Linked DNA regions of Lonchura striata. The protein of the gene in region 2 interacts with the protein of the main gene of each other region in a biochemical or structural test. Links are inferred from orthologs where the notes say so. Each region holds a gene or a part of one and is shown on either strand. Other genes may lie near its edges. The genes, in order: COPG1, TMED10 and COPZ1.

Region 1 (7,726 bases), on a different chromosome or scaffold from region 2:
CACTGGGGCTACAGGAACCAACACCGTTCCCAGCCTCACAAGCAAAAAGAGAATGCTGAACCAACAGGGGCTGGGGATTGAGATGTTCATCTGCTCTTGAAAAGAACAGCATTTCTTCAGAGAAAATTCATAAAACTGTTTAATAACCACTCACACCCCTCTCACTAATATTGTTGTCCACAAGAAATTTGGGGTATCCAAGGCCAATTTCCCAATCTTCCTGGTTTGGGGTGAGCTTTCCCAGATAATTTTTTCCCTTTTATTAGCATTTAGAGTTCAGAGTCTTTAATTTGTTACAGAGACCATTTCAACCTCCTCCCTTTATCTGTCCAATAACAAAGTAAGAACTGTTGCCCGTTTCTTTCAGAGCAAACAGGACTGTAAGAAACCCTCATTTCCTTGCAAAAGTTCTCCAGTGACCTACTCAAGAGAGGGAGAGACTCTGTCCAGTGGGGTACACAGAGAAGATGGTCTGAAGATTTACCTCTTGCAAGACTGCACTCTTCTCCAGGTGCTGGAATGGGTTGGAATTCCCACCTGCAAAACAGAGAGAGTAAAAGTTTCTCCAAGGATAGTGCCATGGGAAAGCAACTTTTTAACCATGCCCATACTTTAAAAACAGTCTGAGCATTTTGGGGTGATTTTTTTTCATGAACACCAAGCAATGAGAGCACCCTCTTTGAAGTAATATTAATTGGATGTCTTCATGGCAGTCAGGGACGACAGACATAGACTGATTAGCTGTAAAATAACTGTGCTCCACTGTATCCCCAAAGAACTATTTCCACCCCTGGGCTGGGAGCTTGCTGGCAGTTAGAGCATCAATAGGACAGGCCTAGAAACAAAAGCTTAGACAGAAAGAGGTATTGCTTGCCAGACTGGTGAGTCAGGAGTAGTTTATCATCCCCTATAAACCAATCAAAAATCCACCAGTATTTTTGGCTCTATCACTAATTAAGAGAACAAGACAGCAGACTAGATAGGCTGGACACAAAGTAACTTTCATTGCTCAACAAAGTAAATTATACTAAATAATTAGAACTGCCAGCAATTAAGGATTAAATAATCAGAGGGAAAAGCACAATCATTCTGCATGGTCTCTATTAGATTGCCTCCCAAGCATTGAGTGACCTGCAGCTTTTCAAAAGCTGCTAGTTATTGATAGGCAGGTTTTAATTAGAACCTATGTTCAGCCTGCCTGGGACAGAATGCAGCCTTTTTCAGGGCTGTTCTAGTGTTTGTGCCAAAGCCTGGTCCACTAGAGACAACATCTCCTGGGCCAAAATCTGACCTGACCCAAGCTTGAAGCATCCTAGGCTGGTGCCAGGAGCCCTTCCCAGAGTAAGCCTTACATAGAAAAGCAAACACATCTGCACTCTGGCTCCTTCCTGGTTCATAAAATGCCCTCCCTCTGGCTCAGAAGAAGTTTGCAAAGGCAGCAGGTGGCTGAAGAAAACACACACATGTATGTGAGGTTGAATAGGTAGAAAAAAACAAGGGGAAAGAGCAAAAAGGTCTCTAGTATGAGTATGAACCAGTTCTAGGATAAATATGCTAATGTGTTCCAAAAAACCTGCCCAGCAGCCCAGTATTTCCATGGTCCAGCATGTCTACAATCCTTAAATCAGCCATGAACAATGCTGCATCACTTCTTTTTCCTTCATAGCACTAAGGATCTTGAAGTACATCGTACATGGGGTCTCAGTCCTCACAGCACCCTGCATCAGTTTTCTTCCATGGAGACGGAGAAAGATGCAGGGAGAGCAGAGGTTGTATGTTCATAAAGTTCCTAATATTGGATAACTAACAGCAAGTTATTTTGATTTGTTGAGAAACTTAATTTTGTGGTCAAAATTACATGTCACAGGGAGTGGGAGCAGGTCATCCAAGGCTAGCAAAACCATACATGGAAAGCAAAGACACAGAAGCAAACTAACTGGATACATGCATCTCCTGACAGCCCTAGCCATAAGTAATGTCAATACCTTGATGGGTGTGGCAGCTGCAAATGAAGAACAGCCCCCAAAATTAAAGCTAAGAGTAATTCCCCTCCAACAGCTGCCTCACTAAATTCTCTGCTTATCAAGATGCCACTGGAGGCCTTGGAAAAGGGAAACAAGGGCAAAGCATTTCATGCCCATTAAGATAAAAAGAAAGCAGAGTAACACAGAACAATCACCAAGACGTAAGCTGAATCAATTTGCTTCAGGACACACTGATTTGTTAAGCAGAGCAAGATGTGTAGAAAGCTTCACAGGAACATGAAAAAGATACCACAAAGCTAAACCACGAAAGGAAACACTGTCTTATGATGCATCGTTTACACCTGAATTACACACCACATAAAATATCAACCTCTTCCTTACTAATCGGCCTAAAGTTTTGAAAAGTCAGGCAACCACTTCATGTTTCCTTGGTGCTCTCAGGTTTTCTGATCCATTGAAAGTAGCAGTGATTGTGGGGCCAGAAACGATGGATTCTACCTGGCTATAGCACCTGGTTCCAGAGCTGGGCAACTGTGAACAGGGCTAATGTGCTCAATATTTAGTCTCAGGCTCTGCACCTGGTGATGTGGCAGTAACCTCGCTGTGCTGTGCCGATGCAAACAGTTTAGCCTCCGGCTGCAGCTGCGAGGAGGAGGCAGCAGACTGCTCCGGCGCTCCCACGGCGCTCCCACGGCGCTCCATGCGCACCAGCAAGCCCCCGCTGCCAGGCTGGCACCGAGCCCCCCCTCCCAGCTCCCTCTGTCCCTCACTGCTCCCCTCACGGCCACAGCAGGGGTCTCTTCCCTCTCGGCTCTCCCCGTGCCACGAAGGGGTCCCCCTCGCCAATCCCCTCCGCACCCACAGAGGGTCTCTCCCCTCACAGCGCCCCCGGCCTCCCCTCACCCGACTCCTCGTCCTTCTTGTCGAACTTCTTCAGCATGGTGCTACCGAGCGGCCTGTCGCTGCAGCCCTCCCGTCCGTGGCAGCGGCAGTCCCAGCCTAGATCCCGATCTCGATGCTGATCCCGATGATCCCGATTCCGGTCCCGGTCCCACTCCCGGTCCCGGCACCGCCCCCGCCCCTTCCTGCCCCGCCCGCTCTGCCCCCGCCCCTTCCTGCCAGCCTGTCACTGCCGCTGCGGCCGCCGCACTGCGCAGGCGCGGGGCCGCCTCCCGGGCGGCTGCGGGGCGTGGCGCGGAGCCGTGACTGACATGGAGGGGGCGGGGCCAACCGGCAATAGCGCGGTCTGATTGGCGGGGCTGGGGTGGGGGTCGGCGCTGAGGGGAGCGGGCAGGGGCGGCCCTGGGGACACCGGGGCTGCGGGGGACAGCGGCGACACCGGGGCTGCGGGGGACAGCGGGACACCGGGGCTGCGGGGACAGCGGGGGCACCGGGGCTGCGGGGGACAGCGGGGGACAGCGGGGATACCGGGACAGCGGGGGCACCGGGACTGCGGGGGACAGCGGGACAGCGGGGATACCGGGACAGCGGGGGCACCGGGACTGCGGGGACAGCGGGGATACCGGGACTGCGGGGGACAGCGGGACAGCGGGGATACCGGGACTGCGAGGACACCGGGACAGCGGAGGCACCGGGACTGCGGGGGACATCGGACTGCGGGGACACCGGGACAGCGGGGATCCCGGGACTGCGGGAGACACCGGGATTGCGGGGACACCGGGATACTGCTCGGTGCTGTGCTGGGGCAGCCCTGGGGACACCGGGACACTGCTCGTAGCAGCTGGGCTGTGGAAAGCACACGGCCCGGGGCAGGAGGCACTGGTACCAGCGAAACACTGGTGATGGGGGCTGGCACTGGGACCCCTGAGCTGGGCAGGGGAAGGGCACTGCGGAGGTGAGGGGGCACTAGGGACAGAGTGGGCTGAAGCGTAGGGGCACACTGGGTCTCGGGGAGGACAGATGAGACACTGTGGCAGGACATGGAAAGGAGATCCTCACAGGCTCAGCATCGCAAGAACAATTGGAAGTGGCAGGGAAGAACTCCCTTCTGCAGGATGGACAGTTGTCACTCAGGCTGCCTGCCCTGGAGTGTCTCACTTGGGTGCACCAGCTCTGGCAGGTCTTCCTATAACCTCTGTCCCCCACTGCTACCAGCACCCTGTCTCTACCCTGGCCCACAAACTCGGGCTCAGCCCCACAGCACACACCCAGGGGGTGCAGGGGGGTATCTCAAGGGGCCAGGCATCATCTGAGCCTCAGGTCAGGCAGGGATAGCAAAAAACCTTTTATCCACCTTGCCACCTCACCCCAACCCACCATCTGCTGGCACATCCCTTCCTGAAATCTGTCCCTTCCATGGGATGTGGGGTCACCCCAGCTGCTTCTGCCCCTTTCCCAAAGCCAGTGCCCAATCCACAGTGCAAGGGCTCACTCACCCTGCAGCAGGTAGTCTTCGAAGAGCATGGCCGTGTCCCCCACCAGCTCCAGTGGCCCCCCTGCAGGTGTCTCCCGGCCTCAGCCTTGCTTGCACCACCCTGTACTTTGCACAGGGCGGCCGCACTCTGCACTGCACTGCTCTTATCTCCCAGCTGTGCTGAAAGCAGCAGCTCCAGTGGCACAAGACAGTTTCCTTGTTGGCCCAGAGCTGCTGTGGGCTCCCTGGGCCAGCTCCACTGTTGGTGCAAGGTCTGACACCCCTCGTGTGGAATTTAATGACCCCCCATGCTGGCCCTAGCTGAGCATGTGCTCTCACAGTATCTCTGGGGAAAGGGAACACAAAATGGGTGTGTAAAGGGGTGCAGAACAGGTATAAAGCATGAGTTGTGTTTGATGCCACATTTTATTGTGCACGCTCACTCAAAATTCCAGCTTTGAGGCTTGGCCAAGCTTTGTGGAGGATTTTGTGTGCTTCAGTCACCCAGAGAGAAGAAGCACCCAGGAAAAACTGCATGGCTGGATGCAGCCCCTTTGGAGACATCTAGGTGGTGGATGAGCAGGGAGCAAAGCCAAGCTTAGAAATCCCTGTAGTGCCGGGGGCTGGGACCAGCTGTGCTCAAGCACTGGCCAAGGTAAACCCAGCTGTGTCTTCTCCAATGGTGCTGAGGTGAGAGTTATTAAATCAAATCCTCCCACGGCTGCTGCTTGTGCCATGAGCACTGGGACCAGGGGGATGAGGTGCCATGTCCAGTGCCCTGCACACACACCAGTGCTGCTCCATGCCTCCCTCTACCAGTGCCCTGGCAGCCCCGCTGCCCTCTCCAGCCCTGCTAGATGCCAGCCAGGACAGCTTATCTCCTGCGCCCCAGGCGGGCCATCAGCTCGGCATTGGCAGCCGCCTTGGCCTGCAGTTCCTTCTCTCTGGCCAGGTCGAGCAGGATTTTCAGTAAGTGAGTGTGGACATCGAATGACAAGGACAACTTCCTCCCCTTTTTCCTGGGAGCCGCTCTCTTGGTGGCTGGGCTCATCAGCCAGGGCACTGCTTGTCTTTCTGGTCCCTCTAGCAGTGGCAGGCTGGCTTCAGCTGGATGAGACTCTGCTCCAGAGCCATCGTCACCGCTCCTCACTTTGGAGGGATCTGGCAGCATCTTGCTAGGGCTGGTGCTGTCCTGCCTCATCAGCTTCCCTCCATCCACAGCCTGGGGGGCTGGTGGGAGCCACTCACGGCTCGGTCCCTTCCAGGCCCTTGTTGGTGTCCCCAGGAGCAGCAGGAAGGAGAGCAGCATCCTGCCTCGCAGTGTGGCCAGGGGAGCCTGCGGGGAGCACATGGCTTGGCATCACCCCCATCACCCTGCCATGGCCCCACAGCCCCCCAGGCAGGACACATCCCCACCAGGGTGTCACCCACAGAGCCCCCCCACTCCCTCACCAGCTGATGGGGCTTCACCCTCCTTTCAGGAGCCCTTCATTATTCCACCTTGGGGAGGCTGAAGGGGAAATGGGAAGCAAATCACCTGGGTGTCCTTGTCCTTTCACACAGCCCCTGGCCAGATGCTAGCCATGCCCTCCATTTCACACCCTTCATGCCTTTGTCCCCCAGGGAAGGAGACAATCCTGCTCAGGAGGGTGCCTGCCAGGGTACTGTGGCTGCTCCCCAACCCATTCCTGCCCTTTGGCCAGGGTTTCAGGGCTGGGGTTTCAGGGCTGGGCAGGCAGTGGAGCATTCTTCCTCCCATGCGTTCCCTGGCAGATGCCATTCCCCACTGTGTTGCTGGGCTCTTTGGGGCAAAAGCCACCCACCAAGGAGGGACACGAGCCACTTGGACTAAAATACACAGCATATTAGTCACGTTGAGGTGACAGGGAAAGGAGAGTGGCCACAGGCCCTGAGCTGTGTCAAGCCTCAGCAACTTTGTCCACCCCCTCCCTCACCCTGGTCACAGGGAAGCCCCAGGGATTGCAGGATGCTGTGCTACAGGGTGGGGGTCAGGGTGCTGGGATGTGGGGTGGGGGTCAGAGCAGGTGCACAAATCCTGCTATATAGCTGCCTCTCTCCAAAATCAGTCACCCAGCAGAGTATCTCTGGGGTGAAGCCCTTTGCAGAGTACCAGAATAGGCAGCCAGGGGTGGTTAACTCGCTGCAAAATTAGGAATGAAAAGCATCTAACCCCCTGCAACCTCTTGCCCAGCTAAAAGCCCCTGAAAAGCACCGCTGAGGGCACAGCCTCACCATTTGCAGCAGGTCCTCGTCTCCTCGATGTTCAGGCAGTGCTCCCAGGGTGCAGGGACCACAATCTGGGCATTTACTCTGCTCCCTGCCAAGCCCTGGCTCTTATCCTGTCCCAGCTCCACCTCTGACCCGCAGAGGGGGTGACAGTGACAGGGGGAAGGTGGCGGGGGGGTGGTGTGTGGAAATGTTTTTAATACATTTTGCCTAATGGCAGATGAAATCATCCCAGGATGTGGGTGGGTGTGTGCCCCCTTGCAGCTCCACCAGCTGCATTTCGAGGGGATTCCAGGAACCTGGGACATCTCAGTTGTTTCATGTTTGACTTGCAAGATGTTTTTTCTTCATCTAATTAGGCCTCCCTGCTCCTGTCAGGCTTGGTAATCACTTAAGGGAGGGAGAGAACATGCATATTGCCAGGATTATGGGCAGACCTCGGGGCATTGTGACTCACAAGGCCCCTGGACAGCTCCTGGTACCAGTCTGGCACTGTGTCCTGACAGACTCCCTGGCCACGTGGAGGACATACCTAGAGACATGTCACCTCCCTGCTGTGCCAAACCCAAGCACTGCTTTTGCCACTGGTTTGCAGGAAGGCAGTGACTTGCAGCTCACTTTTATGCATTCCAACTGGGACACCACTGATTTCCAGGCACCTGCACCAGCCCAGCCTGGCCCAGGCCCCTCTGCCAGCTGCCAAGGTGGGTAGCAGCCTGTAGGCATTGCTGTGGGGTGAGCCCCATATACAAGGGCTTGGCTCCACAGTTCCCCTTAGGGAGTGTGGGAGCATCCCAAGGCTCTTGGGCTGGGTGGGCACTGCATGAGGTGAATTGTGGGTGCTCAGCCCCATGAGCTGGCCAGGACCAGGAGTCAGGGTGCCCAGGGTTCAGACCACTGGATTGCCCACCCTCGTGGTCTGAACTGATGGGTGACCCATCCTGTGCCACCCTCCCCAGGACAGTAGGGAACAGAAATAATGCCAGCTTTGTTCTTCCTCCCAGGGACAGCCAGGAACTCACACCCAGAAGCCAAAATTAGCTGGCAGCACTGATTCACACAGTACATCATGCAGCACCACAGACCCACGTGCTGACACGTCAGGGCCTGGACAGGGGGT
Region 2 (7,021 bases):
CCCTCCCTGAGCAGAGGCATGTTTATCATAAAGGTCAGAGGAGGACAGGGCAGGGGCTTGAGAGGAGGTAACAAGCCAGCTGCTTCTTGCAGAGGTTGGGGGTATTTAGGTGAACTCTGTATTGGTGTTTGCTGGAAAAATTAATCCCAGCACTGTTGCTGGTGAGCAGGAAAGGCCAGCAGGCCTCTGCTGGACATAGCTCATGCTACTGGGGCAGTGGGAGAAGCAGGGCTTTGCCTGGAGCCATCCATTGGGAATGGAAAGGGATATGGGCTTCCCCTGAACTCCAGGGGGACAGTAGGTGAAAGTTGCTGGGAAGTGAAGCGCGAGGTTTCCTCAAAAAGATGGGAGAGCTGTCAGGCTACTACTTAAAAGCTGAAAACCTGCCTGGGAGCAGGAAAAGCTCTGGGGAGAGATGAGAGAATAATGAATGCTCACTTCCTCAAAATGGTTTGTTTGTGATTGAATCTGGGCTGTCTTTGATGAAGGATGTTTTGTTTCCCTAAATGAACTCAATTTGGATTGAGCCCTATACTCTTGATTTCAAGCAATTAACATCTGTGCAGGATTTTGAAGCACTTTGTAGAAATAACTTTAGTCACTTGGTGAAATGGAAGAAGATACACATAAATATAATGTAACAATAGTTTGTCTCCTCAAAGTGATATCTAAAGTTGTTTTGTACTATGCCTGTTACCCAAATGCTATATATTTTAGTTATGTGGCCAGCACACAGTACATGTCATCTCTGGGACAAGAGAGACAAAGCAGTGCAATGCTGTTTTATGGCTGTTTAGCCACTGATTTATTTTTAGTTGGTTGAATAACATCTCTATCTAGATTGTGATCACAATGGTGACTGGGGGAGTTATGTCCCAGCAATGAGTTCAAATATAGCCCCTTAAAGGAGTGGCCTTGCACTTTCTAGAAGTGGTAGATGGATAATTTTGCATGGTTAGTAAAAGCACTGATTAGCATTGTAAAGAATATGTAATTTTTATACAATTTCTCAGTAGCTTGTAGTGGATTGCCAGGTGCAGGGCACAATGCAAAAGTATTAGAACATAAAAGTAAGTCTAGAATAGTTTTTAAGAGGAACATTGTTTCAACTTTTTATTGTCCAAAACAAGAAAATGCAAAAATGCCACAGCAGCTGACGCAGAAGCTGTAAAAAAAAGGTCTAATTATGTAATTCATACACATTCATACACATTGTTTCCTGGAGAAAGCAAATTAGTGTTGCTTTCTGCCATTTAGCATAGATAAAAGATACATTTTGGTGCGGCAGGAATTGACTACTGCTAACACTCTGTGAACTTTGTCAGTTTGGAAAAAATTAGAAATTTGGTGGGAAAAGGCATATTTTCTTCAATGGCCTTTGCTGTCTCAGACTACTGAGACATCCAAAAGTTTCTATTGCTCTTTTGCTAAAATAGAATTGAAAGCTGAATAATTCATTGTTCTCTTCATCATTTTTAAGACAGCAATAAAACTGCATTAGGGATATTTGGAAAGATAAAAGCTATCTTTTATCACACGAACAAAATGGTTTGAATTTTGTCAGTGTGTCGTGATTGGCAGCTGATATTAATGCTTACATTGGGGATACACCCATTTGTCTATGGGTTAGTGGTAGTGAGAACAAATATCTGCCTCCAGCTGAGTGCTGAGCTCCCACAATGCTTAACACAGCAGATTAAGCTAAAATAGGTCATCGCTTCATCTGGAAAGTTGTGTAACAAGTTATCAATCTCTCCTTCACCTCTGTTCAGGGTTTTTGAATTACAGGAAGCATTTCATTTTGTTAGCCTCCACTATGTGGAAATATTAAGGCATGTCCCTGCAAGACTGTTATTTCCTAACCTGGAGCTGAAAGGATCTTCAAATGCTTTCCCTCTGCTCTAAGTTACTTGGCACACTCAAGGGAAATTGCCCCATTGCATGTTTAAATGCTTTTAAAAAAAGCCGGGGATTGTGAAGAGACTCATAGCAGCTCTGTACCATTTTATTTCATAACACACTGAAGCACTAAAGGATATCTGAGGGGGTTTTATAATTAGATCTGAACTTGCCTGTGTGGCAGTTTCTAGAATAATACGTCCACAGGAGGAGACTACAACAGAAAGCAGGGGATAGATTTGTTGGTCATAAATGTAACTCATCTAATAATGTACCATGACAAAACGGCCACAGTAGAAAGGGATTGTAGTCAGTCGTATATTTGCTTTTTGATGGTTGAGTTCACACTTTGATTTTAGAAAACAAGGCTTTAACTTTAACATGAATGAGCCATTTCCTCTGGAAAATAAGGCTATATTTAAAGTTTTAAGCATGTTAAAAGGCTGGATCCATATTACTGTTTTGAGGAATGTTCTGCATGAAGAAATTTGTCATGCTGTGCCAGTTTTATCAGAAATTTTGTGGTACAACATTTCATATCTTCATATTCTAGCAATCAGTGTTTCTTAAAGTTTGTGAAATATCTCTTTCTGCCTTAAGCACTGCAATGGAAAGAATGTTTTAATTTGCAAATATACTTCGACATATTGCAAAAAGAGCAAACTATTTATTATGGTTACATTTCAAATAAGTTAATTGTCCAAGTAAGGGACAGTTTTTGAACTAATAAGAGAGTTAAAAATGTATTGAAATTCCATCAAGTGACTGTAAATCCCACTTCAAACAATAAACTGGAGCTTAAAGTAAGGGCAAATGTTTGGTGCTGGGAGGTTTTTGTTGTTTTGGGGGTTTTTTGTGATTTTTTTGGTAAAAGTTTTTTATTTCCCTCCAAGTATGAGGTCACTTTATCCCTGCACATTTGGGCTTAGTGTCTGTTCCTGAAGGAGAGCTTCATCATATTTTCTCAGTAGGTATGAGCACAAGCGGGCAAAAGCACTGAATTGTTCTTTAAAATGCTCCACAGGTGAACATCCAAGCATGAAATTTGCCACTTAAAGCCTCTTGTAGTTTGTACCAACTCCTTGTTATTGCTTGCCATTAAAGACATGCTTTGACCAGAGAACACAGCTGGTGATGTTTAAAGGAATAAAAGTGGAACAATGGTGTAATTTATTTTACTCAAGCTAACAGAAATAAAAAAGATATTTTGCTCTCTAGCAATGTTACTATCCATTTCTTTCTTCCTGCTTTTCCTTACATCTTAGCACACCCAAATGTTTGCAGCTGATCCCAGGAGCTGACTGCAACCATGGTGACCATAGCCACACACCTGTGCAATTTTCCTCCTCCCTGCTCGCAGGTTATGCCGCAGAACAGGTCACTGCTCCCAGCCGTGTGTGCCCTTCCCGGCAGCTCCACTGCCAGGCCAGGAGGCTGGGGATGGAGGTGATGCGGTGCCAGGGGAAGCAGCAGCCCAAAGCTCATCAGTGGTTACCCAATGCAATCTTCCTGAAGAATAAAATATATCAAGAGAGAAAAAAAAAAAAAAGAAAAAAAAAAAAGAGAAGAAAAAGTAGATCTGAGTATATGCTGGAAGAGAGAAAAAAGTAATGTCTTCAAAAATCATTATAATTTTATTTGCTGTTAAAAACACTTGGGTACTCCTATTAAATGCAAGGCATTGATGCAAAGAAGCAAGACATCTGATAAAACTGAATTTTCTTGTGTGAAGAAGAGAGAAGTCACTCCTCAAAACTGAAAAACCCCATACAATAAACAGCAAGTGTCTCTCCCAGTGAAGATCCCCAGCCGCGAGGCAGTCTCACGGACATTCAGAGTGCTGCCGTGCCTCGGAGCACGGCTCGGTTTTGCTCTAATTTTCCAATTCTTTAACGAGCGAAGCCACCATTACTCGCTGCCGTCAGCCATTGCTGGACAACCTTCATAAGTCCTGCGTTTCCTAAGGAAACACCCCGCGGAGGGGTCGGGGCCCGGTGCCCCGCCCCGCCCGCCCCGCCCCGTGACGCACGGCGGCGGCGGTCACGTGCGGCGGAGGCAGGCCCGGCCCGGCCCGCCGCGCTCGCAGCCGCCGCCATGCCGCTGCCGCCGCTGCCCGGCCGCCCCCGCCTCGGGCGGGCCCCGCTCCCGCCGCTGCTCCTGCTGCTCCTGCTGGTGGGCCCGGCGCGGCCCATCTCCTTCCAGCTGCCGGGCAAGGCGCGGAAGTGCCTGCGGGAGGAGATCCACCGCGACACGCTGGTCACGGGCGAGTACGAGATCAGCGCCCCGCCGGGCTCCTCCGCCGGACCCTCCGCCAACCTCAAGGTGCGGCCCCGGCCGGCCGGGGGCGGGGGTGGCCGGGGCGGGCGGCGCGGCCCCGCCTCCCCTCGCCGGCTGTGCGGGGCGGGAGAGGAAGGAAGGAAGGCAGGGGTGACGTGTTCCACGCGTGGCACCGGCCCACGCGTGAGCCGACAGCCGCCGGGCCCGGCCTGCGCCGCGCCGCGGGACTCGCCCTGTGCGAGCGGCCACCAGCCCGCCCAGGAGCTCCGGGTGCTGGGCAGCCAGGGAGCCCAGCTTCAGCTTGAGCCACATAGGAGCTTTTTCTCCCCAAAGATCGAGTTGCAGCCGCCCGTCCCGCAGTCTGCCATTTAATCCGCACACGATGCGGATTATCCGGCGCCTGGCGAGATGGGCCGCCCCGATAAAGCTGTACCAATGCTGCTGACACCGTGTGAGCAGGAAAGAGTTATGGTGACGTGGCTTTCCGAGGGCTCCCTCCATGCTTAGGGCCTGGCACAACCGGATCCTGGCACAGTGGAATGGGGGCTGAGAAAATTTTGCTGTACCAGGTTCTGGTACCCAAATTGGCTATTCTCATCTTGCTGTGTCGTGGCTTGCATGGGTTTTAGGTAGGCAGATATTTGCTGCAGGGAAGAAAATGATCCTGAAGAATCTTCAGGAAGTACAGGATTTGCAGAATACTCATGACTAATACACCTGTGTGACACACAGTTGTAAAACTTCAACAGCTTCACTTAAATTCTGCCCACAATCTGCATTTCCTAGGCTTTCTTCAAAATTCCATCCTAGCTGAATAAGGTCTGTTGCTACATAGTCAGTTCATAACAAGCCTTCTGGCAACTTTTTTATTTCTGTCTACATTCCCAAAGGTTTCAATACTAAGCACGCAAACAGAGATAGAATGGTCTGCTCAGGAGCTTCTGAACTTGGTGTTCTTGAATATTTTAGGCATCCTGAAATCAGATTGCTTTTCCAGCATCTGCCTACCAATGCCTGAAGGCCCTGGCACTCTTGACAGTTGTAGCTGGTTATGGCTAAGGAAGGCTTCTTCTGGAGTCATACTGTTTAAAAATCATGTGGTTCTGTTCTTGCTTCATTTGTTAGAGGAAACTTGTCTGCGTATACGTAGAGCCAAGCAGCAATAAGGCTTTAAAATGTGGATGTAGTATTTGCCTGGTAAGGCACATGTATTTCAGATGGAGTGCTATGTTCCCATGTCTCTTACTGCTTGGTAACCAAGCCTCCTGGTTCTCAGGTTGCCCACTCTTAGGTCAGTTGGCCCCAGGGTCTCTTTCAAAACTCACTTTTATGACACAGAACTTATTTAGGGAGATGATGGTGAACCTGTGATTCCCATGTTTAAGTCTCGGTTGGCTTTGCTTATGAAGCTGGTATTGGGTGGTACTGCTTACAGAAGTTCTTTTTTGTTCACGCCATAAAATGAATTAATTTTTAAAAGTCATGTGTAGTTTGAAAAGCTACAAAGGTGAAAAAGTAATGTATGCAAATTCTTGCTTTCCTTCTTATTGTTCAGGTATGCTGTGTCCTCCCAATGTGCTGGGCTTGTTATAAGTGCTGAAACCTCTGACAGGTGCCTGCTTTCTCTGTGGTCTGTGTAGGAAAGGTCAGTTCAGGACATGATGTCTGCAGGTACTCTGTTCTGCACTGGATGGTCTGCTTTGGCCCCCTGGATTGGGCCAGCGAACAGAAGAGGGAGGAGGTTGGTAGTCAGTTCTGTCCAGGCTCAGTTGGGCTGCTGCCGGTGAGCTGAGCTGTGTGTGACAGCCCGGCGCTAACAGTGGCACCCTCTGTTCTGCAGGAATCCGCGGGCTCGGCCAGCTGGCTGCTGCGAGGGGGCGCCTGAGCTCCGTTTGGCAGCCACGTGCCTCTGCCCCATTGTCGAGCCCGACGGTATCGGGCTGTTTGTCAAGGGCAAACAATGCCCTGTCTGTAGGGGATTGCCTTACCGTAAATAACGTTAGAATAGCATGAAAAATTCCTTTCAGGTCGACTCCCCCACAAGCGTTCTGGCTGGGCTATTAGCAGCCTGTCCCGCCCCCGCACACCCGGCTGAATGGGCAGTGTATTTGGCTGATTTGGGTAATGCTATTCAGTTTTGATGAAAGTGGATAGCAAAGCTTTTACTGTCCAGAATGCCGTTTGTGAGCTGCAAAGGGCAAAAATGGATCAAGCTGCATAAAGATTAGCTCTGGTGCCTACAAAGGCATAGGAAAATACTAGGGGTATCTGAGAGCTATGTTGTTCTGACTACTTTTTGTGATGGAGAGCCTGGTGTGCAGAATGTATGTCATGCTGATGAGGCATCTTGGTTAATCATGACCCCTCCTCTAAAACAGCACATGCCATGTTGTGGCCAAATCACAGGCTTTTACATTGTGTTGGCATGGTCAAACATACACAATCCTCTACTGCAGATGGGCCTGCTCACTTGGGCCCAGTGCTTCCCAGTGCCTGGTGGCTTGTGACAAGGGAATGGCAGCACAGCTGCCTGCACCTGACTGTGCAGGTGTGCTTTCATCTGCTTGCCACTTGAAAACAGGTACAGCTCTGAGCTGCTGCGTGGGGAAGAGTGTTCCTCATTGTTCTCAGACACTTGACAGCATATGATGCAAGGGCAGCTACAGCAAATCCCCTAACAGGCCATTGTGGGATAATGTATTTATAGAGGAAGCTTGTTCCTAAAGCCTTGCCTGCTATGGTTTATACCATAAAGTGTGAGAGTTTATATAGTTGATCGTTTTTCCTGCCTAATGCAGCAACTCTCACCCATGAGTAGGTCCACACGTTTTAAATCCAATGCCAG
Region 3 (7,760 bases), on a different chromosome or scaffold from region 2:
AAAAATCACCTGGGGAACCCCCAAAATATCCCAAATGTCCCGGGGGCAGCTTCGGGGGGCGCAGCTCGGGGCCCTACGGCGGTGGTGAGTCCCCAAAAACCCCAAAAATCACCTGGGGAACCCCCAAAACCCCCCTGGGAACCCCAAAATATCCCAAATGTCCCGGGGGCAGCTTCGGGGGGCGCAGCTCGGGGCCCTATGGCAGCGGTGAGTCCCCAAAAATCACCCGGGGAGCCCCAAAATATCCTGGGGAACCTCAAAAACCACATTGAGGACCCCAAAAATCACCTTGGGGGAGCTTAATTTGTATTGGGGCGGCCTTAAAATAACCTGGGGGGGGCTCAAAATGTGCTGGGAGGACCCCAAAACAAACTGGGGCGATCCCAGAATGTCCTGGCAGGGCTCTGGGGTCACTGGGGGTCCCCAAATGTCCCCCCCCGATTTTTGGGTGTCCCTGAATCCCCTCCTGGTTCCACAGGCGGCTACGGCAGCTCCAGCGGCGGCGGCAGCTACGGAGGAGGGAGGAGGTTTTAACGGCCAGGTGAGGGGAAAAACGGGGGGAAAGGAGGGGAAAATGGGGGAAAAAACAGGGAAAAAAGGTGGGGAAAGTTGGGAGAAAATAGGGAAAAAAGGTGGGGAAAATTTGGGAAAAGGGGGAGAAAAATATGGGAAAAAAGGTGGGGGAAATAAGGGAAAAATATGGGGAAAAGGTGGGGAAAATATGAGAAAATCTTGGGAAAAAATTGGGGGAAAATGGGGAAAATATGGGAAAATGGGGAAAATATGGGGAAATGGGGAGAAAATATGGGGAAAATATGGGAAAGAATGTGGGAAAAAATGGGAAGATAATTGGGAGAAGAAATTATGAATTGGTCAGGGAGAAGGGAGAGGAAAATAAAACGATGGGAGGGATTTCAGGCAGAAAAGTGGGAAAACAGGAAAAAAAAGGTTGGGAAAAGATGAAGTGGGAGGGATGAAGGGAAGGGTTGGGGAAAATGGAAAAAAAGGGGGAAAAGAAGATTGGGGGAAAAAAAGAAAAGAGGGAAGCGAGAAAAGGTTGGAAAGGAGAAAAAGCTGGGAAGAGATGGAGGAAATGGTTAAAATTGGGAGATAAAGTGATGGAAAATGGGGAAATAACAGGAAAAGGTGGAAAAAGGATGGGAATGAAGGGAAAGGGGAGGTGGGAATTGCAGCGGGGCTGGGGCTGGGATCGGGCAGGGTCATGGGGATCGGGGCAGGGATGGGAATGGGAATGGGATGGGATGGGAATGGGATTGGAGCAGGAATGAGAATGGGATCTGGGATGGAAATGGGAATGGGGCAGGGATGGGAATGGGATTGGAGCAGGAATGAGAATGGGATCTGGGATGGAAATGGAGCTGGGATTGGGGCTGGGAATGGGAGTGGGGCAGGGATGGGAATGGGATCTGGGATGGAAATGGGAATGGGGCAGGGATGGGAATGGGATCTGGGATGGGATTTGGGAATGGGATGGGAATGGGGCAGGATTGGGGCAGGGATGGGAATGGGATCTGGGCAGGGATTGGGGTTGGGAATGGGGCCAGGATTGGGGCAGGGATGGGAATGGGAATGGGGCTGGGAATGGGAATGGGATTGGAGCAGGAATGAGAATGGGATTGGAGCAGGAATGAGAATGGGATCTGGGATGGAAATGGAGCTGGGATTGGGGCTGGGAATGGGAGTGGGGCAGGGATGGGAATGGGAATGGGATGGGATTTGGCAATGGGATCTGGGATGGGATTTGGGAATGGGATGGGAATTTGGCAGGATTGGGGCAAAGATTGGGGCAGGGATGGGAATGGGATCTGGGCAGGGATTGGGGTTGGGAATGGGGCCAGGATTGGGGCAGGGATGGGAATGGGAATGGGATGGAAATGGAGCTGGGATTGGGGCTGGGACTGCCGCTGGGTTTGGGGCTGGGATGGGAATGGGATCTGGGATGGGAATGGGATCTGGGATGGGAATGGGATCTGGGCAGGGATTTGGGCCAGGATTGGGGCTTGGACTGGAGCTGGGTTTGGGGCTGGGATGGGAATGGGATCTGGGATGGGAATGGGATCTGGGCAGGGATTTGGGCCAGGATTGGGGCTGGGACTGGAGCTGGGTTTGGGGCTCTGCCCCTCCTGGAGCCCCCAACACCGGAGCTGCTCCTGATCCCAATCCCAGTGCTGATCCCAGCCCCGATCCTGACTGCCCCAATCCTGATCCCAGCGCTGACCCTGCCCCAATCCCGAACCCAATCCTGACCCCGATCCTGCCCCAGTCCCGATCCCAAAATCCCAATCCTGATCCCAGTGCTGACCCTGCCCCAATCCCGAACCCAATCCTGACCCCGATCCTGCCCTGAGCCCAATCCCAAAATCCCAATCCTGATCCCAGTGCTGACCCTGCCCAATCCTGATCCCAATCCTGACCCCGATCCTGCCCCAATCCCAATCCCAAAATCCCAATCCCAAAATCCCAATCCTGATCCCAGTGCTGACCCTGCCCAATCCTGATCCCAATCCTGACCCCGATCCTGCCCTGAGCCCAATCCCAAAATCCCAATCCCAAAATCCCAATCCTGATCCCAGTGCTAACCCTGCCCCAATCCTGATCCCAATCCTGACCCCGATCCTGCCCTGAGCCCAATCCCAAAATCCCAATCCCAAAATCCCAATCCTGATCCCAGTGCTAACCCTGCCCCAATCCTGATCCCAATCCTGACCCCGATCCTGCCCTGAGCCCAATCCCAAAATCCCAATCCCAAAATCCCAATCCTGATCCCAGTGCTGACCCTGCCCCAATCCCGAACCCAATCCTGACCCCGATCCTGCCCCGATCCCAATCCCAAAATCCCAACCCCGATCCCGGCGCTGACCCTGCCCCGATCCCAATCCCAAAATCCCAATCCCAAAATCCCGATCCCGGTGCTGACCCTGCCCCTCTGTCCCGCAGGAGCCGGAGCTGGGCGGGAGCCGGGGCAGCCCCAGGAGCCGGAGCCGGAGCTGGGCCGGGAGAGCCCCGGGACCCCCCTGGGAACCTCTGGGGACCACCCGGGACCCCCCTGGATCCCCCAGGACCCTCTGGGGACCCCCCAGGATCCCCCCTGGGACCCCCCAGGATCCCCCGGGATTCCCCTGGGACCCTCTGGGGACCCCCCGGGATCCCCCCGGGACCCCTCTGGATCCCCCAGGACCCTCTGGGGACCTCCCAGGATCCCCCCGGGACCCCCCGGGATTCCCCTGGGACCCTCTGGGGACCCCTGGGATCCCCCCGGGATTCCCCCCGGGACCTCCGGGAATCCCCCGGGACCCCCGGGGCCGGGTCCCCCCGTAGTTCCCGAGCGGAGCGGCCGGAACCCCCCCGTGTCCTGTACCCCCCCCCCTCAATAAATGTCTCTTGGGTTTTTTTTTTAATTGGTTTTTATCATCATTGTTAATTTCAGAGCTGGGGGTGGCTGCTTCCTCCTGATTGGTCACCGCAGCTGTCAGTCACAGCCTGGCTCCGCCCCACCTGACTGTCGTGTCCCCAGGTGTCCCAAAGTGTCCCCAAAGTGTCCCCTGGGTGTCCCTGAGTGTCCCCAGGTGTCCCTGAGTGTCCCCAGGGTGTCCGCAGATGTCCCCAGGGTGTCCCTGGGTATCCCAGGGTGTCCTAGAATGTCCCCAGGGTGTCCCCAGGTGTCCCAAAGTGTCCCCAAAGTGTCCCCTGGGTGTCCCTGGGTATCCCAGGGTGTCCCTGAGTATCCCCAGGGTGTCCCTGGGTATCCCAGGGTGTCCCTGAATGTCCCCAGGGTGTCCCCAGGTGTCCCAAAGTGTCCCCAAAGTGTCCCCTGGGTGTCCCTGAATGTCCCCAGGGTGTCCCACCCCCCCCCATCACTGATTGCCACCTTCCCCTTTTGAAGGAGCCCTCGGAGGTGAGCCTGGCGACACTCTGGGGACACTTTGGGGACACCCTGGGGACACTCAGGGACACCCTGGGACACCCTGGGGACACTCAGGGACACCCTGGGGACACCTGGGGACACCCTGGGGACACCCTGGGGACACTGCAGGGACAGGGCTGGGGACGAAGCAGCCACGGAGGGGCCAGACACAACACCTGGCGGATGACACGGGGGTGCCACCGCTGTCCCCCAGAGTCCCCAGATGTCCCCAGCCCCTGGTGGGTGATACAGAGGTGCCACCCCTGTCCCCAAATGTCCCCAAGTGTCCTCAGCTGTCCCCAAGTGTCCCCCAATGTCCCCCGCTGTTCTCCAAACGGCCCCATTAATATCCCCAGATGTCCCCAAATGTCCCCAGTGGCCCCAAATGTCCCCAAATGTCCCCAAATGTCCCCAGATGTCCCCAAATGTCCCCAATGCCCCCATTAATCTCCCCAAATCTCCCCCCTGTCCCCGCCCCCCCCCCGTGACACGCTCCGGGCGCCATCAGCAGAACAGGCCCCACTTCCGGTCACGTGCGCGCCGAGCCAGCCAATCAGCCCAGCCCCGGTAAAGCGGTGACGTCAGCGCTTCCCCGGTCACTATGGCAACTGCGCCGCCCCCTCCGCTTCCGGCAGCGCCGTGCAGCCGTGATTGACAGCTAGATCGTCCAATCAACGCCTGTCTAGGGAAGCGCGGGAAAGACTGGTCCGCCCACCGCGCGGAAGCGCGCAGCGATTGGTGGGGTGGAGGAAGAATTGGACCAATCAGGCCGGCGGGGTGGGGCCAACGAGAGTGATTGGCAGGCGAGCAGCCAATCAGCGGCGGGCGCTCTTCCGGCTCCACGTCGGCAGCGGCGGAGGCAAAATGGAGACGCTGGTGCTGGTGAGGGACGGGGAAACTGAGGCACGGGCGAACTGGGAGTACTGAGGAGAAACTGAGGCACGGGAGGGACTGGGGGGCCTGGTGGGAAACTGAGGCACGGGGGGGACTGGGGGGACTGAGGCACGGGGGGAACTGAGGGTACTGAGGGGAAACTGAGGCATGGGGGGGACTGGGAGTACTGAGGGGAAACTGAGGCACGGGGGGGACTGGGGGGCCTGGTGGGAAACTGAGGCACGGGGGGAACTGAGGGTACTGAGGGGAAACTGAGGCACGGGGGGACTGGGAGTACTGAGGGGAAACTGAGGCACGGGGGAACTGGGAGTACTGAGGAGAAACTGAGGCACGGGGGGAACTGGGGTACTGAGGGGAAACTGAAGCACGGGGGGAACTGGGGGGGTTCAGTCCAACACTGGGCAGTGACACTGGGGACAGTTTGGGGACAATTTGGGGACAGTTTGGCAGAGTTTGGGTGCCCGGGCCGGGGTTCTGTCCTACACTGGGCTGTGGCTCTGGGGACAGTTTTGGGGACAGGTTGGCACGGTTTGGCACAGGTTGGCACGATTTGGGCACTCAGGCCGGGGTTCTGTCCTACACTGGGCTGTGGCTCTGGGCAGTCAGTGCATCACAGAACTTGGTCCTGGGCACCCCCGGCACCGCGGGACCCGCTGGGACAGCGACAGGGAGGGGACAGAGGGACAGGGACAGAGGGACAGGGACAGACAGACAGGGGACAGGGACACAGGGACAGGGACACAGGGACAGGGACGGGGGGCACAGGCCGTGGGGACAGGGATGGGGAGGACATGGTGACAGTGACCCCAGCACAGGCTCGCCCGCTGTCCCTGTCCCGGGGGTGGCACTGTCCCTGTCCCTGTCCCCAGGGGTGTGGTGGCACTGTCCTTGTCCCTGTCCTGTCCCGTCCCCAGGAGCCGTCCCTGTACACGGTCAAGGCCATCATCATCCTCGACAACGACGGCGAGCGGCTCTTCGCAAAGGTGGGGACACTGGGACACCCAGGGGACACCCAGGGGGGATATTGGGGACACTCAGGGGACACTGGGGACAGCCAGGGGACACCTTGGGGACAGGGGCACAGTGCCCTGAGGGGGATGCGGCTCTGGGCAAGGGCCAGGGTGGGTGGCACGGGTGTCAAGGGGTGGCCGATGTCCCTGATGATGTCCCCGTGTCCGTGTCCCCATGTCCCCGATGATGTCCCCATGTCTGTGTCCCCATGTCCCCGATGATGTCCCCATGTCCCCATGACGTCCCGTGTCTGTGTCCCAGTACTACGATGACACGTACCCCAGCGTGAAGGAGCAGCGCGCCTTCGAGAAGAACATCTTCAACAAGACCCACCGCAGTGACAGTGAGTGACACCGAGGGGACACTGAGGGGACACTGAGTGACACAGGGGTGGCACGGGGGTGACACGGGGTCACAGGGACACAGGACATCTTCAGCAAGACCCACCGCAGTGACAGTGAGTGACACGGGGACACTGAGGGGACACTGAGTGACACGGGGGTGGCACTGTGTGACACAGGGGTGGCACAGGTGACACGCAGGTGACAGTGTGGCTGTCCCCAGGTGAGATCGCGCTGCTGGACGGGCTGACCGTGGTGTACAAGAGCAGCATCGACCTGTACTGCTGCGTCATCGGGAGTGCCACCCAGAACGAGGTGGGACACGGGGACACGGGGACATGGGGGGGACATGGGGGGACAGAGCAGGACAGAGCGGGGACACTGCTGGGACACCGTGGGGACTCTGCAGGGGCACGAGGACACCCAGGGCTGCTGGGGGACCCCAGGTGGATTGTGACCCCGCTGTCCCCTCTGTGTCCCCATGTGACCCCGCTGTCCCCTCTTTGTCCCCTCTGTCCCCTCTGTGTCCCCTCCGTGTCCCCTCTGTCCCCAGCTGATGCTGACGGCCGTGCTGAACTGCCTGTTCGACTCGCTGAGTCAAATGCTGAGGTAGGGACACACTGGGGACACCTGGGGACGCCTGGGACACACCTGGGGACACCTGGGGACACCTGGGACACACCTGGGGACACCTGGGACACCTGGGGACACTCCTGGGGACAGTTCTGTGGGGTGTCCCCGATGTCCCTGTGGGGTATCCGTGATGTCCCCATGTCCCCATATCTCTCTGTCCCCATGTCCCCAATGTCCCCTGTCCCTGTCCCTGTCTCAGGAAGAACGTGGAGCGCCGGGCGCTGCTGGACAACATGGAGGGGCTGTTCCTGGCCGTGGACGAGATCGTGGATGGAGGGTGGGTCCCTGTCCTTGTCCCTGCCACTGCCACTGTCACTGTCACCTCCCTGTCCCTGTCCCTGCCACTGTCACCTCCCCTGTCACCTCGCTGGGACTGTTCACTGCCACTGTCACCTCCTGGGGACTGTCACCTACCTGGGATTGTCACCTCCCTGGGACTGTCACTGTCACCCTGGGACTGGCACTGCCACCCCGGGCTCTGTCCCCGCAGTGCTGAGGTGTCCCTGTCCCCTCTGTCCCTGTCCTGTCCCATCCCTGTCCTGTCCCATCCCTGTCCCCGTCCCTGTCCCATTCCTGTCCTGTCCCATCCCTGTCCCTGTCCCATCCCTGTCCCTGTCCCATCCCTGTCCCCGTCCCTGTCCCATCCCTGTCCTGTCCCATCCCTGTCCCTGTCCCATCCCTGTCCCTGTCCCATCCGTGTCCCCGTCCCTGTCCCATTCCTGTCCTGTCCCATCCCTGTCCCTGTCCTGTCCCTGTCCCCATCCCCATCCCCATCCCTGTCCTGTCCCATCCCTGTCCTGTCCCATCCCTGTCCCCGTCCCTGTCCCATTCCTGTCCTGTCCCATCCCTGTCCCTGTCCCATCCCTGTCCCTGTCCCATCCCTGTCCCTGTCCCATCCGTGTCCCCGTCCCTGTCCCATTCCTGTCCTGTCCCATCCCTGTCCCTGTCCTGTCCCT

The links.
Region 1: the proteins of TMED10 (region 2) and COPG1 form a complex in vitro, tested with the Homo sapiens proteins (2 studies listed by BioGRID). The link is inferred for Lonchura striata from reciprocal best matches to the Homo sapiens genes TMED10 and COPG1.
Region 3: the proteins of TMED10 (region 2) and COPZ1 form a complex in vitro, tested with the Homo sapiens proteins (2 studies listed by BioGRID, with this or other methods). The link is inferred for Lonchura striata from reciprocal best matches to the Homo sapiens genes TMED10 and COPZ1.

Annotation. Positions count from the first base shown.
Region 1 is NC_134614.1:12,750,199-12,757,924, reverse strand, and holds the start of COPG1 (coatomer subunit gamma-1), read right to left. Parts: upstream 3,078-7,726; 5' UTR 2,926-3,077; coding exon 2,889-2,925; intron 538-2,888; coding exon 485-537; intron 1-484. UniProt on the Homo sapiens protein: The coatomer is a cytosolic protein complex that binds to dilysine motifs and reversibly associates with Golgi non-clathrin-coated vesicles, which further mediate biosynthetic protein transport from the ER, via the Golgi up to the trans Golgi network.
Region 2 is NC_134608.1:23,131,082-23,138,102, forward strand, and holds the start of TMED10 (transmembrane emp24 domain-containing protein 10), read left to right. Parts: upstream 1-3,979; 5' UTR 3,980-3,993; coding exon 3,994-4,221; intron 4,222-7,021. UniProt on the Homo sapiens protein: Cargo receptor involved in protein vesicular trafficking and quality control in the endoplasmic reticulum (ER) and Golgi.
Region 3 is NC_134629.1:8,455,074-8,462,833, forward strand, and holds the start of COPZ1 (coatomer subunit zeta-1), read left to right. Parts: upstream 1-4,756; 5' UTR 4,757-4,789; coding exon 4,790-4,807; intron 4,808-5,688; coding exon 5,689-5,802; intron 5,803-6,091; coding exon 6,092-6,173; intron 6,174-6,394; coding exon 6,395-6,486; intron 6,487-6,724; coding exon 6,725-6,780; intron 6,781-7,003; coding exon 7,004-7,081; intron 7,082-7,760. Other genes in the region: HNRNPA1 (heterogeneous nuclear ribonucleoprotein A1), read left to right, coding at 479-534. UniProt on the Homo sapiens protein: The coatomer is a cytosolic protein complex that binds to dilysine motifs and reversibly associates with Golgi non-clathrin-coated vesicles, which further mediate biosynthetic protein transport from the ER, via the Golgi up to the trans Golgi network.